Linked DNA regions of Arabidopsis thaliana. The protein of the gene in region 2 purifies or fractionates together with the protein of the main gene of each other region. This does not show direct contact. Each region holds a gene or a part of one and is shown on either strand. Other genes may lie near its edges. The genes, in order: ATP5, ATP3 and AAC3.

Region 1 (3,975 bases), on a different chromosome or scaffold from region 2:
TTACACTTTATTCGAATATAGTATCAAAACTTATATAACACAGAGATTTGTTTTTTTTAATTATTGAATATTTTTTTTTGTGCTAATTTTTATGTGATTAAGATTTAATTGATTTCATAAATAAAATATTAAATTGTTTACGAACTTATTTGTTTATAATTTGATAATAGATAGATATTTGAATATTCAGTATATTTTGCTTCAGTTTAGGAAATCTTTGATGACCCGTCTTTAGATCCAATAAGCCCTATAATCTAGATTTTAACCTGCAGTATACCGCAAGTAGGCTTATATTTTAGTTAAACTAAAAACTTTTATTGTAAAGATGATTTAAAAATATATGATATTATTTTATTTGATTTTAAATGTATAGTAAACTGTGAGTTGTATATGTTTTGTTGATATTATCTATATTGTTTAGTGTTTAAGATTATACACTTGTAGTTTGATTGTTAATTTAAGAGTTTGACATGTAGTATACCATCTTGTATTAATATCGATCTAAACCCGTTAATTCTAGGATTTTCCAGCTTGTATTAAAAATTGAATCACATCTAATATGTTATTAATTATTGTAGTATATAAGATTATAAATTTTCAATATAATATGTATGAAATTGAATATAAATATTTCAAATTATGACCCGTTACTCAGTAGAAAGTTTTCTTAAATCTATTTTTCATCCGTTATAATATTTTTCATGTATTGAACAGTTTATATTCGTTTTTAAAAATTCAAATTATGACATATGCGAAAAAACTCTAATTATTTTTTTTATAATGATGATATTATTTTTCGGCAAAAATAGAATCATATAAAGATGAGAAGTGAACTATAATAATTAATAAAAAATTAATATGATAATTTAGATATCAAATCTAATTTGTTGATTTTAATTGGTTATTTTTTTGGAAATTAATAATGCATTTTATTTTTCTAATTAAATTAAATTAATTAAAATTTAGATATCAAATCTTATATGTTGATTTTGATTGGTTATTATTTTTGGAAATTAATAATGCATTTTATTTTTCTAATTAAATTAAATTAATTAAAATTTAGATATCAAATCTTATATGTTGATTTTGATTGGTTATTATTTTTGGAAATTAATAATATATTCCGTTTTTAAATTAAATTTAATTAATTAAATTAGTATTTAACTTTTTAATCCTTAAAGAGATAAATTAATTTATTCTTTAAAATTTTATTTTTAATGGCATACCTATGTAATTACTTACAAAAATTAAGGTTACATTTAAAAAGTACTTCCCAAATAATATAGTAGGATAGAAAATTGAGAACAACATCTTAATTCGTAAGAAAAATAGTATTTTTTTAGAACATCAATTATTTTGAAATAGAGAAAAATACATTATTGTAGAGTTCAAATACACATTAAAAATGATATTTTTCATATACACATATATACAGTTAAATTTGAATATATATATATATATATATATCAACAATAATACAAAATAATAATCTACAAGATCTTGTTTACAACAAAAAAACGAGTTAAGTTGTGTATTACATAACCTCACTATAACATTTGAAACTTGGTAAAACACTAAAAACCTGAGCAAAACAAATTAACTATCATAAATTTGCCACTATCTACAGGTAGTAATAAGCCCAATAAAATAAGTATGAGCCCAGTGAAGCCCAATGCACTAAGTTATTTTCTTCCTCTGACCAGTTTCATCTCTTTGCTCTCGACAAAGCAGCTGAGCGACTTTTGCACATTTCTAGGGTTCCAATCAAAATCTATCTGCAACAAAAATGGCTAATCGTTTCAGATCAGGGATCTCCTTCTTCAAGACCATCGCCGTAACAGATTCTGTCTCCTCCGTTAGATCCAAGTCGCTTTTCCCAGCGGTAATTCGCATTCTTAAAAATCGAATCTTTTCAGTCCAATTTTTTGTTCGGAGTCGATTCTTACGAGATCAGTCGATCCAATCGCCTAATTGGATTGATAACAGTATAGAATGGGGATTATCGTGTTTTCTCGCTTACATTGCTCGGCTTTAGATGTTTTGGAAGTCTTTTAACTCTATCTCTGTTATTTTCCTGAGAATGCTATCAATCAATCTTTAAAGTTTGTATATTTCTATCGCAGTTGAGAACTTATGCAACTGCTTCTGCTCAAACAACCGCTAATGTTAAGGTACACCCTTTTATCACCATCGTATTATTTTGTAGATGCGAGAATCGCGACAATGGCTTGAATTGTTTGATTGGCATAAATGATGAACCGCGGATAGCTGGATTTTGTATAATATGTAATGGAAGTGTATCTAGATTTATACTTGTTGTTGTTTCAGGTGCCTATTGCTTTAGTTGGTGAAAATGGGAACTTTGCTTCATGGCTATACATTGCAGCTGTGAAAATGAATTCCTTGGAAAAGATTGAGACGGATCTTTCTGAGATGATTGAGGCAATGAAGACAGCTCCTATTTTTGCTCAGTTTACAAAGGATCCCTCTGTTCCTAGAGGGACAAGATTGGCTGCTATTAGGGATGCTTGTGATCAAGCAAAGTTTGCCGAACCCACTAAGAACTTCCTCTGTATGTAATTCAAGTTTGAAACTGTCTTGTTTTTATGATTTTGATTGACCTTGTTGTGCTGATATTAAAAGTTGTTTGCTTTCTGTAACAGCTTTGTTAGCTGAGAATGGAAAGCTGAAGAACCTAGATGCCATTGTGAAGAAATTTATGCAGCTGACAAACGCACATAGGGGAGATGTCAAAGTTTTGGTTACCACAGTCATTGTAAGCTTTAGTCTCAATACTTGTTATCTCTTAAATAACCATAAACTCAGTATTGTGGATTTAATCATATGGTTTGGACAGCCGCTTCCCCCTGCTGAGGAGAAAGAACTGACTGAGACGCTTCAGGAGATCATTGGAGCAGGGAAGAAAATCACTGTGGAACAAAAGGTATGTAATCAGATATGCATCAAAGGCTTGTGATTTTCTAGTAACCCATAAAATGGATATAAGCATCTATGTCAATGGTGGTAATGTGTGTTTGTAGATTGATCCAAGTATCTACGGTGGACTAATCGTAGAGTTCCAACAAAAGGTGTTGGACATGTCAATCAGGACAAGGGCACAACAGATGGAGAGGCTCCTCCGTGAACCTGTTGACTTCAACAACCTCTGAAAATCTTGAGAGAAATTTCCCCCAAGAAAACATGCTTGTGATGAATGCCACCAATTGACAAATAAATATGGACCCTCCTGGGAAACAATATAATAGCTGGCCACTTCTCTCCCTTTGAATTTTGTCATTTGCTTTTTACATATTGTTGTTTGCTTCGAAATAAAGCTTTTCGAGACATCAAATTTCAATGAGATTGTTTTTGTTTAGATTTGAATCGTTGGGCTAATTTGGTAAATAAATCTACAAACTATGCCCAAGTAGCTTATTCATACTCACGAATGAACATTAAGATGCCACGAAGCTACATAATTATCATGTTAGAACACCGTCATTGTTCTCTTCAGTATTAATAGTAAAAAAACCAAATTGACGATTTCTCGAAGACTATTAAAGGAATATCCGCAAAGAAGAAAAAAAAACATTTTTTTGGTAAAGGACTAATCTTTTTGTTTGCATCGGCCATCTCTAACCTTACGATTGTGTGTTCTTGCTTTGAGCGAAACCCTAGAATCGGTCTTAACCCATTTGAGCAGAGATGCTGCGAGTAGCAGGAAGGAGGCTTTTTTCTGTTTCGCAGAGATCATCGACGGCGACCTCCTTCGTCCTTTCCCGTGACCATACCCTTTCCGATGGAGGCAACTCCTCTTCCGCTTCTAGATCTGTCCCCTCTGCAGATCTCTCATCTTTCAATTCTTACCACCGGAGCGTTATAAGAGGTCTGCCGATCTACAACTCTTTCTGTCTCTCGATTGATTTTCATTTCTGGTGTTATCCATTGAATGATTCATAAATTTTTAAAAGTCAC
Region 2 (5,087 bases):
AGTTGGTTATGGGACACATTTATGTACCCCAAAAACGAGAGGGTCTTGAGTCCTTGAGGAATAGTCCCAGATAGTCCGTTTCTAGACATGTCTAATGATTCAAGCTCAATAAGATTGGCCATAGACATGGGAATATTACCTATGAAAGCGTTGTTTGATAAGTTGAGTGCAATCAGTGCCTTCAAGAGACCAATGGATTCAGGAATCTGTCCTTCAAGTCTGTTTCCGGAAAAATCAATAGCGCTGTATAAAGTAAGAATCCTCTTTTGCTCCATGTGTAGACCTTTGTATCTTAAATCTATAAAATCTTGATAGGTATAAGAAATGCTACCGTAAGCATTCTTAGTGTATATCATATATAAACCCCCTTCTTGATTTTAGCGTGAGTGATGATGCTTTCCAATTCTCATAATAATTTGGTGGCAAGCCTCCGGTAAATTTATTACCAGATATCTCAAATATCCGCAGCTCTGGATACCCTAGTGGACCTCGATCAAGAGGAGATATTGAGCCATAAAATTTGTTTCACATGATTGGATTCACATCAGTTTAAACTTTCTAACATCAGATTGTTTATACATAATTCCAAAATTCTAGAAATCCACTAGCATGACAACATACACTGCATTGGATATATTGTTTAGATTTGTTTGTGGGATTATTCAAAGTTTCAAACTTCAAAACCTGGCGAAGTGACAAAATATTGGCTCAGGTAAAAAAATATCAAATAAACCGGAGTACATGGTGTTTGCACAAAACAACACTACAGACTCTGGAGGAAGCGAGTCTGAATCAGAACAAAATGTTAATGCAATTATTCGAAATCCTGCTGGAAATTACAGGTATGTTTATTAAAAATCGTTGAGCAAACATTGGTAGGTCTCAACAAGAAGCCAGCAAAGGAAACTGATTCAGTAAAATTTTAACACACTCTTCTCCTTCAAGGTGGGGGTAAATATCAAAGCGAAGAAAAGAGAACTAACACGGATGGGCTTATTTAGCAGCTTCAAGAGCAGAAGCTCCAGAGATAATCTCAATAAGCTCTGTTGTAATAGAAGCTTGACGAGTCCTGTTGTATGTGAGGGTGAGACGGTCGAGCATTTCTCCTGCGTTTCTGCTTGAGCTGTCCATGGCAGACATTCTTGCTCCCATCTCACTACATGCATTCTCCAGAACCGCATTGAACATCACCTAGTAGAATTTACGTAAACAACCAAAATGTTATGTTTCTTTCTATGCTGAAATACCATAAATCAAGTTAAACTTTCTTGGTTACTTACACAAGAGAATTGGAACTCGGCCAGATTCTGCAATATTTCTCCCTTTGTTTCCCCACCTTCAATCTCATATGAGTCAAGCTCGCCAAGTTTTCCTCCAATTTCAGACTCCTTCTCAATAATCTTTCAATGCAAAACACACACATATACAATCAAGTTTATACTTAAAGCAGAATGTGAAATATTAAGCACAAATTGAGACGTTCAACAGTTATGACTTACCTCAGGTGACAAAACAGTGGACACAGTTGGCAGAAATGCGACAACTGAATGGAACTTGTTGTAGACAATGCGCAAAGCATCAAATTCAACGTTCTTCAGGATGTCATCAGCTAGAACTGACACCTGAAGCAGCAAGTAAACATAAGAAACACTATAGACAACAATAAATAGCTCGAGAACAAATGGATCGGGGAGAGAAACTATTGCTCCTAACTATTAGCAACTAAGAACTACCTGAGCATAATTGAGTGGGTTCTTATTCAGCTCTGTTACAGAGAGGACAATGTCGTTCTTTGAGTCACGAAACATTATAGCCTTTGCTTTCTCTCCGACAATAACAAACTGAACTTCCTTTTCAGGACCTGCAATGATATAAGAATTAATATCGGATATGCAATTCAGGAAAACTAAACCACGGAACCATCGTAGTGTTTTCAAACATACCAGCATTCAATTTGTACAGAGCCCTGCTCACTTTAACGACAGTGGAGTTGATTCCACCACAGAGACCCTTGTCAGAAGAGAGAGTGACCACCACACTCTTCTTTACATCAATGCCTGGTTTTTCCATCAAGTAACGCTAGAAATCAGAAACACATCCACAATAACAACAAGAGATAGCAAGAGGATGGATATCTCAGACTATAGTAAGAGCAACAGATTTGTTCGTCGTCATCAATATTCAATACCGATGCAAGCCCGGAGTGATACTAGAACAAAGTTATTAAGAAAAACAACTCTATATAGCCAACCATACTGGGATTATCTCCTAGAAGTGCAGTAAATGGCTGCCAAAGTCCACGGGAGTTCTCAGCTCGGCCTTGAACTGCTCTAAGCTTGGAAGCAGCAACCATCTTCATTGCCTTTGTGATCTTTTGGATGTTCTTAACACTCTTCATGCGGTTACGCACTGCACAGAGAATACATGTAAAGCAATTCATAAAGATTAGAACATCACAGATTTCTTAGAACACAATCCTAACTAGGTAAAACCAATCTCCAATTATCAGCTTTGACTTACCCACTTGAGTTGAGATAGATCGAACTCCAAGAAGTCCTTCCTCCCTACAAATCAAATACAAGTTTAGTCCTCATCATCCTAAATATCACAAAGTTTTGCAGGTAAAAGCTGATTAAATCTGACGAGCTTAGACAACATATCACAAAGTCTCTTCTACGAGGAAAATCAAATTGGTCTTGCAATAGGAAATTCAACGAAACGAGCTTAACAGGACATTTCCGAGTCTCAAAACTCCAAATAGACGAACAAAAACACCTCACTCATTAGCAGCTCCCGAGTCAAACAACACAATTTCCATAAATTTTCGTCGATTCGAATTTCAAGGAAATGAAAACATCAACGACTCAATTAAATCAAACGATTTCAAATTCAGAAAAGCATCACAGAGGAACAGCGAAATGTGTGTTTATACGCAAGGATAAGATGAATGAGAAAGAGATCTCACTGGTCAGAAGAGAGAGGAGATCGGATAGCAGCGATTGGGCGAGCGGCGATTGAAGGGAGGAGACGCCTCCCTTCGCGACGGAAAACAGCCATTGCCATTGATTAAAGGATTGATCGGTAAACAACAAAACCTAGCTCCGGCGAAATTTCTCAGATCGGATTATAGAGAGAGATTCGAGAGAGATGACTGCAATGGGCAAAATCAAGGGCTTCTTTATTTCTCAGTCTACACAGTAGTTTTGTCACGACGTCGTTTCCACTTTATTACCAAAATTTCCCCTGAAATTAATCGGGCCGAATAGAGGCTAATACTATTACTTTTTCGGCCCATCTTATAAGGCCCAAAGGTATCTCCTCAGATTATCAATCACGTCGTCATACACGTCTTGTTTCCTTTTACATTTTTGAGTTTTGACCATGACTTCTTCTTTCTCCAATCTATAACCAAATTAATGCGAGTTGTTTCATAACGCAACATACTCATAATAAATGAAAATTAAAAAAATATCAAGAGAAGGTAACATTTCACCAACCTATTAATTATTGAAAGGCCCACTTAATTTATTTTTCTGTATCTGTAAACAATAAGATACTATTAAACAGAATTGTCATCATCGTTACGTCATATTAATGTGCGTTCATTTGATCCAATGAGAGTAAATTGCTGAGTGTTGATTTCCTCTTGTTGCTAAATTTTGAAGCCAATTTTAACAGTCAACTATAACTCCCAGTTATATAGTCAGAGATGTCCACGTGGAATTTACTTCATGAACAAATGTGACTCGTAGACATTTCACGTGACATTTAAACCCCACATATTTAGTAAAGGCGGCTTAAAATAACATATATATAGCAAATCTTTGATATGTCTTTTTTTGGGTTCAATAATTTCCTCAACTTGTTGGTTCAATCACAAACACCATGCGTTTGCATTTTTGCTCGCTACTCTTACTCTACTGTATCGTCTTCGTTTCAAGCTTCTTGACGACCGACGCTCTTGCTTGTCTTCCTGACCAGATCCAAGCTCTAATCCAATTCAAGAATGAGTTTGAATCTGACGGCTGCAACCGCAGTGACTACTTAAACGGAGTCCAGTGTGATAACACGACTGGTGCGGTCACGAAGCTTCAGCTCCCAAGTGGTTGCTTCACTGGAACTCTCAAACCAAACAGTAGTCTCTTTGAGTTGCATCAGCTTCGTTACCTTAATCTCTCTCACAACAACTTCACTTCCTCTTCACTCCCTTCTGAATTCAGCAATCTCACCAGATTAGAGGTTTTGTCTCTTGCCTCTAGTAGCTTTACTGGTCAAGTTCCTTCCTCAATTAGTAACCTTATCTTGCTTACCCATTTAAACCTTTCCCATAATGAGCTCACTGGTAGTTTCCCACCTGTAAGAAACCTAACAAAGCTTTCCTTTTTAGACCTTTCTTACAATCAATTCTCAGGAGCCATACCTTTTGATTTACTACCCACTTTGCCTTTCTTGTCTTATCTTGATCTGAAAAAGAATCATCTCACTGGTTCTATTGATGTCCCAAACTCTTCTTCTTCATCTAAGCTAGTTCGTTTGTCCCTTGGGTTTAACCAATTTGAAGGAAAAATCATAGAGCCTATCTCAAAGCTCATAAACCTCAACCATCTTGAACTTGCTTCCCTAAACATAAGTCACCCAATTGACTTACGCGTCTTCGCTCCTCTCAAATCTTTGTTGGTCTTTGATATTCGTCAAAATAGGTTATTACCAGCCAGTTTAAGTTCAGATTCAGAGTTTCCATTGAGCTTAATAAGCTTGATTTTGATCCAGTGCGACATTATCGAGTTTCCAAACATCTTTAAGACCCTTCAAAACTTGGAGCATATAGACATTTCCAACAATCTAATCAAAGGGAAAGTACCTGAGTGGTTTTGGAAGCTTCCTCGTCTTAGCATAGCAAATCTTGTTAACAATTCTTTGACTGGTTTCGAAGGTTCTTCAGAAGTTTTACTTAACTCATCAGTGCAGTTACTAGATTTTGCCTATAACTCCATGACAGGAGCGTTTCCTACTCCACCACTCGGTTCGATCTACTTGTCTGCGTGGAACAATAGTTTCACAGGGAACATACCTCTCTCAATCTGCAA
Region 3 (4,472 bases), on a different chromosome or scaffold from region 2:
GGCTTTGAAAGTGTTGGATCTACTCTGCTGAAGTCACTGGATGTATTTAATTAGGTTGTTGCCATTTACTCATCTGTTAAAAAACAAAATTTTAAACCACGTTCCTCTTTGTAAAAAGCTAAAAGCCTCGTTATGTTATCCGTTTGGCTATGTAATTATAAGTGTAGAAATGTCACGAGAGCCAGAAGTTTTGTCCTTAAGTTTTGATTCTTAATGGACAATTTTGGCATTTTTTGCTTCCCGTAATAATGGTTATTGTAAAAACTAAGAAATAGAAGAGAAGCCATATCTGATGAATATACATATATATAATCGCTTACAGAAAATTCTTCGTACTTTTGTAACACTAGTCACTATTACATCTACAATAAACTCGATTATATATCATTTGTAACTATATAGAACTGTTACAAGGCTTCCCTTCCCAATATTCATAGATATATATCCTGGTAGTTAATTTAATTTCTCAACGTCGGGATTCTTGGTGTTTCTGAACCTGTAATGACAAAATTATACCAGTTCATTAGTTCCTTTATGCACAAGGAAAAATGTAATATATAACATTTTCTTCTAGGAAAAGATTTTTAAAAAACTATGGAGAGAAGAATGAAAATAACTGAGAACAGTCCATATCAACGGAGATGGGAAAGCTGAGAGTAAGAGAACAACGGAGAGGAAGGTTATTAATAGCGGCGGGAAGAAAAGGAAGATGATTTGCATTTCCCATTATCTCAATGCACAGACACACTCTCTCTGTTTCTCCACTATCCTGCCTATTCCTCGATCCCTGCGTAGTTAATATAATTATAGATGGTGAAAGAAGAAACCGAAATAGAAGAATCGAGAATTAAGTCTAGTAACTGGAGACGTAAACTTGACGACGTTGTTCAAGTGGGTCACGCCTCTGCAGCAATCTGGAGAAGGTTGTTGAAATATTCCCTCGACGAAGCCCATGCAGGGCATGAAACTCACGAACACGTCTCTGCAATGTTCCAGCGGATTATTGTCCTGGGAAACGGCGGTCTTCATCAGGACCAAGAACGCTACTACCAATATGGCATGTATCTTCATTGAACTCAGTACACTAGCTAGCGAAGGTGATATATATGATTCGTGTACGAAGAGAAATCTATATCTATATATTATATATATAGTAATCAATTCGTTTCTAAGGTGGAGTTTATTATGCATGGCTTAGTTTAATGAACACATGTAGTTCTCATGTTTCCTTCTTACTCGGATGAATTCCAGCTGAGTTCTCTTTTAGTTTTCTTGAATCTTTTGAAATAATCTACCTACACATATTAAGGTTATTGCATGTAATTCGAGTTTATTTTATATCGCATGACATGTATGATGTGTCTTGTTATCTAATACATGAGCCGATATCATTGCCTATATTCTGGTACTCTCAATACGTATCGGTTTGTTTCATTGTTTGTAGAACATTTCTCTAACTAGTTTTGGATCACTAAATTCGAACCACATCACCTTCCTTGCATCTGTAAAGTTCTGTCCGGCTGAAGAAGAAAAAAAAGATTCAACTTTCTTTCTTGCTTCTTAAGTAACATCCAATTTTTTAAGACCTAGTTAACAAGCCTCTATTATATTTTTCCGGCAAACCAAAAAAGTCTTGATTATTGTTCTATTTTTCTATATTTAATTTTCAGGTAGATGAGACATATATCACATAATGATAAAGAGGTCTCTCACTTTCATTAGGTATGAATTTTATCTTCCTAGGAAAATAAATTTTGGGTCCATTTAGAAGAAGTCAAGACTCGGGTCCCTTAAAATTGGGCCCAGAAAGAAACGGGTCAAAGGAGTCCAGTAGCATTTTCGTAATTGTACCTTCTCTTCTGCTCAGTTTCGTCTTTTAGTTTAGGACCAGAAGTCGAGAATCATGTAGAAACCTACTCTTCTCGCAATTTTCCACAGCTCTCTCTCTCTCTCTCGTTAACGCTTCGGCGAAAAATCCACGGTAAGCTCTCGACTCCAGAAGTTCTAGCTTTATCATTAATGCTTCTCTCCTAGCTCTCTCTGTTTTTTTGTTCTGCTTCTCGTGAATTCTGTTTTCTCGACGCCACTCGTTGCTTGATCTTTTAGAAACAGAGGATTTAATTGAGCTGCTGCAACTAGGTTTTAATTTGTGCTAATTAGGTCGCATTATAGTTGACAGATTGAAATGGTGTCTTTAACGAAGCTAACTAGGATCGTATGAAATGTGTTGATGATGTCTTCTCTGTTTTTGTTCCAGTTTTGGTTATGATCATTCTTTTTTAAGCATGCAAATATAGAAATTTTCGAGAAAGCAAGATTTTGTGGTGTTTAATTTGTATTTTTGTTTTGTTTTGTTTTGTTTTGTTTTTCAGAGTCAGCTTTTACTGATTTGTACAAAAAATGGATGGATCAAAGCATCCATCAGTCTTTCAGAAGCTACATGGACAATCTTACTTGATCAATAGACTTTCTCCGAGTGTGCAAGCTCGTGGTTACTGTGTCTCTGGTGCTTATGTCAATGGAGGTTTGCAGAGTCTATTGCAGCCAACTAGCCATGGCGTTGGCTCGTCTCTTATACCTCATGGTTCATTTCCTGTATTAGCTCACGCTCCTAGTGAGAAAACTGGTACTGGTTTCTTGATCGATTTCCTTATGGGAGGAGTCTCAGCTGCTGTTTCGAAGACGGCAGCCGCGCCTATAGAGCGTGTGAAGCTCTTGATTCAGAATCAAGATGAAATGATCAAAGCTGGGCGTCTCTCTGAGCCATATAAAGGAATCAGTGATTGTTTTGCTCGAACAGTCAAAGACGAAGGAATGCTTGCTCTTTGGAGAGGAAACACTGCCAATGTTATCAGATACTTCCCCACTCAGGTTTGTTTTCTCTTCTTTGACGTGGTATTTGTATAGACGTCGAGATGGGTATGCTAAGCAAATAGTTTTGTTTTGCAGGCTTTAAACTTTGCGTTCAAAGATTACTTCAAGAGGCTGTTTAACTTCAAGAAAGAAAAAGATGGCTACTGGAAGTGGTTTGCAGGGAACCTGGCGTCTGGTGGTGCAGCTGGTGCATCATCTCTGCTTTTTGTGTACTCTTTGGATTACGCTCGTACCCGTTTAGCCAATGATGCGAAGGCGGCCAAGAAAGGTGGTCAGCGGCAGTTTAATGGCATGGTCGACGTGTACAAGAAGACTATAGCCTCTGATGGCATTGTCGGGCTTTACCGTGGTTTCAACATCTCATGCGTTGGAATTGTCGTGTACCGGGGGCTTTACTTTGGATTGTATGATTCCTTGAAGCCTGTGGTTCTAGTTGATGGTCTCCAGGTAAAAAACAAAGAAAACTCCTCACTTCAACATATTGAGTCCTCTGTTACTGTTTACTCATTGCTATAATCTGTACAGGATAGCTTCCTTGCTAGTTTCTTACTGGGATGGGGAATCACCATTGGAGCTGGATTGGCGTCTTACCCAATTGACACGGTTCGCAGAAGAATGATGATGACGTCAGGTGAAGCAGTGAAGTACAAGAGCTCTCTTCAGGCCTTCTCTCAGATCGTCAAGAACGAAGGGGCCAAGTCACTCTTCAAGGGTGCAGGTGCCAACATCCTTCGTGCGGTTGCAGGCGCTGGTGTACTGGCCGGCTATGACAAGCTCCAGCTCATTGTGTTGGGTAAGAAGTATGGCTCTGGTGGTGGCTAAACGATGAGGATGATGAAAGAATAGCCCTTGAGGTCTGTGAATGAATAAAGCAGTGTGTCCGTTCGTATAAATGTTGCTTTTAGAATATAGAGTGTCTCTGTCAAGTTGTGGCCCTTTGTCTTAGTTCTATACTTCTATGACTTTTGTTGACAAAAGAATAAATACAAAGAAAACCAATACCATGTTTATGTTTTTTGTAGTTAAAACAGTTTTAGTGAATATTATCAGTTAAAAAGTCAACATAAGCTGAGAGATCAAAAGAACTTTAAATGTATGGTTATGCGAAAGTTTGTATAATTCAGATTCGGTTTCCTTGGGTTGTAAGCGAATGAGTGATCTAAGTCCAACACTAAGATTTGGTCTTCAAATGTGTCAGTCTCAAATCCCACTTCAAACCACTCCAGACAGCTACAAGTAAGGAGTTAAGTCCTTTTCCTTGATCTTATACCACTACCTGATTCATCCTCTGTAATCGTTGCACCAAAGACCAAACTTATTGTCTTTATATATAAATCCACCACACTTAAGACAAAGGATCCATAACTTGTCTTTGAATGGCTCTCTCTATAACATTTCCTGTCCTTATCTCAGTTCTTCTTTATCATTTCTCTTTAGTATCAACAGCAAAACATAGCCTTCACCACCACACAAGTCACTCCACAAACCCTAAACAGCATCTTCAGCAAGCGTACCGTGCACTTAAAGCATGGAAGAAGGTAATCTATTCTGATCCAAAGAACTTAACTGCAGATTGGGTCGGTCCCTCAGTCTGCAGC

What was found.
Region 1: the proteins of ATP3 (region 2) and ATP5 fractionate together in Arabidopsis thaliana (co-fractionation; one large-scale study listed by BioGRID). This does not show direct contact.
Region 3: the proteins of ATP3 (region 2) and AAC3 fractionate together in Arabidopsis thaliana (co-fractionation; one large-scale study listed by BioGRID). This does not show direct contact.

Annotation. Positions count from the first base shown.
Region 1 is NC_003076.8:4,309,753-4,313,727, reverse strand, and holds ATP5 (delta subunit of Mt ATP synthase), read left to right. Parts: upstream 1-1,661; 5' UTR 1,662-1,786; coding exon 1,787-1,882; intron 1,883-2,123; coding exon 2,124-2,171; intron 2,172-2,328; coding exon 2,329-2,572; intron 2,573-2,663; coding exon 2,664-2,776; intron 2,777-2,857; coding exon 2,858-2,944; intron 2,945-3,041; coding exon 3,042-3,170; 3' UTR 3,171-3,474; downstream 3,475-3,975. Other genes in the region: AT5G13440 (Ubiquinol-cytochrome C reductase iron-sulfur subunit), read left to right, coding at 3,706-3,886. UniProt on the Arabidopsis thaliana protein: Mitochondrial membrane ATP synthase (F(1)F(0) ATP synthase or Complex V) produces ATP from ADP in the presence of a proton gradient across the membrane which is generated by electron transport complexes of the respiratory chain.
Region 2 is NC_003071.7:14,017,985-14,023,071, forward strand, and holds ATP3 (gamma subunit of Mt ATP synthase), read right to left. Parts: upstream 3,202-5,087; 5' UTR 3,064-3,201; coding exon 2,966-3,063; intron 2,565-2,965; coding exon 2,521-2,564; intron 2,410-2,520; coding exon 2,257-2,409; intron 2,058-2,256; coding exon 1,944-2,057; intron 1,862-1,943; coding exon 1,734-1,861; intron 1,623-1,733; coding exon 1,500-1,622; intron 1,401-1,499; coding exon 1,281-1,400; intron 1,192-1,280; coding exon 994-1,191; 3' UTR 626-993; downstream 1-625. Other genes in the region: RLP25 (receptor like protein 25), read right to left, coding at 1-356; RLP26 (receptor like protein 26), read left to right, coding at 3,886-5,087.
Region 3 is NC_003075.7:14,040,710-14,045,181, reverse strand, and holds AAC3 (ADP/ATP carrier 3), read left to right. Parts: upstream 1-1,834; 5' UTR 1,835-1,981; intron 1,982-1,997; exon of another isoform or gene 1,998-2,139; intron 2,140-2,372; 5' UTR 2,373-2,400; coding exon 2,401-2,871; intron 2,872-2,949; coding exon 2,950-3,321; intron 3,322-3,399; coding exon 3,400-3,696; 3' UTR 3,697-3,894; downstream 3,895-4,472. Other genes in the region: A7 (Bifunctional inhibitor/lipid-transfer protein/seed storage 2S albumin superfamily protein), read right to left, coding at 454-496, 618-787, 862-1,191; AT4G28380 (Leucine-rich repeat (LRR) family protein), read left to right, coding at 4,251-4,472.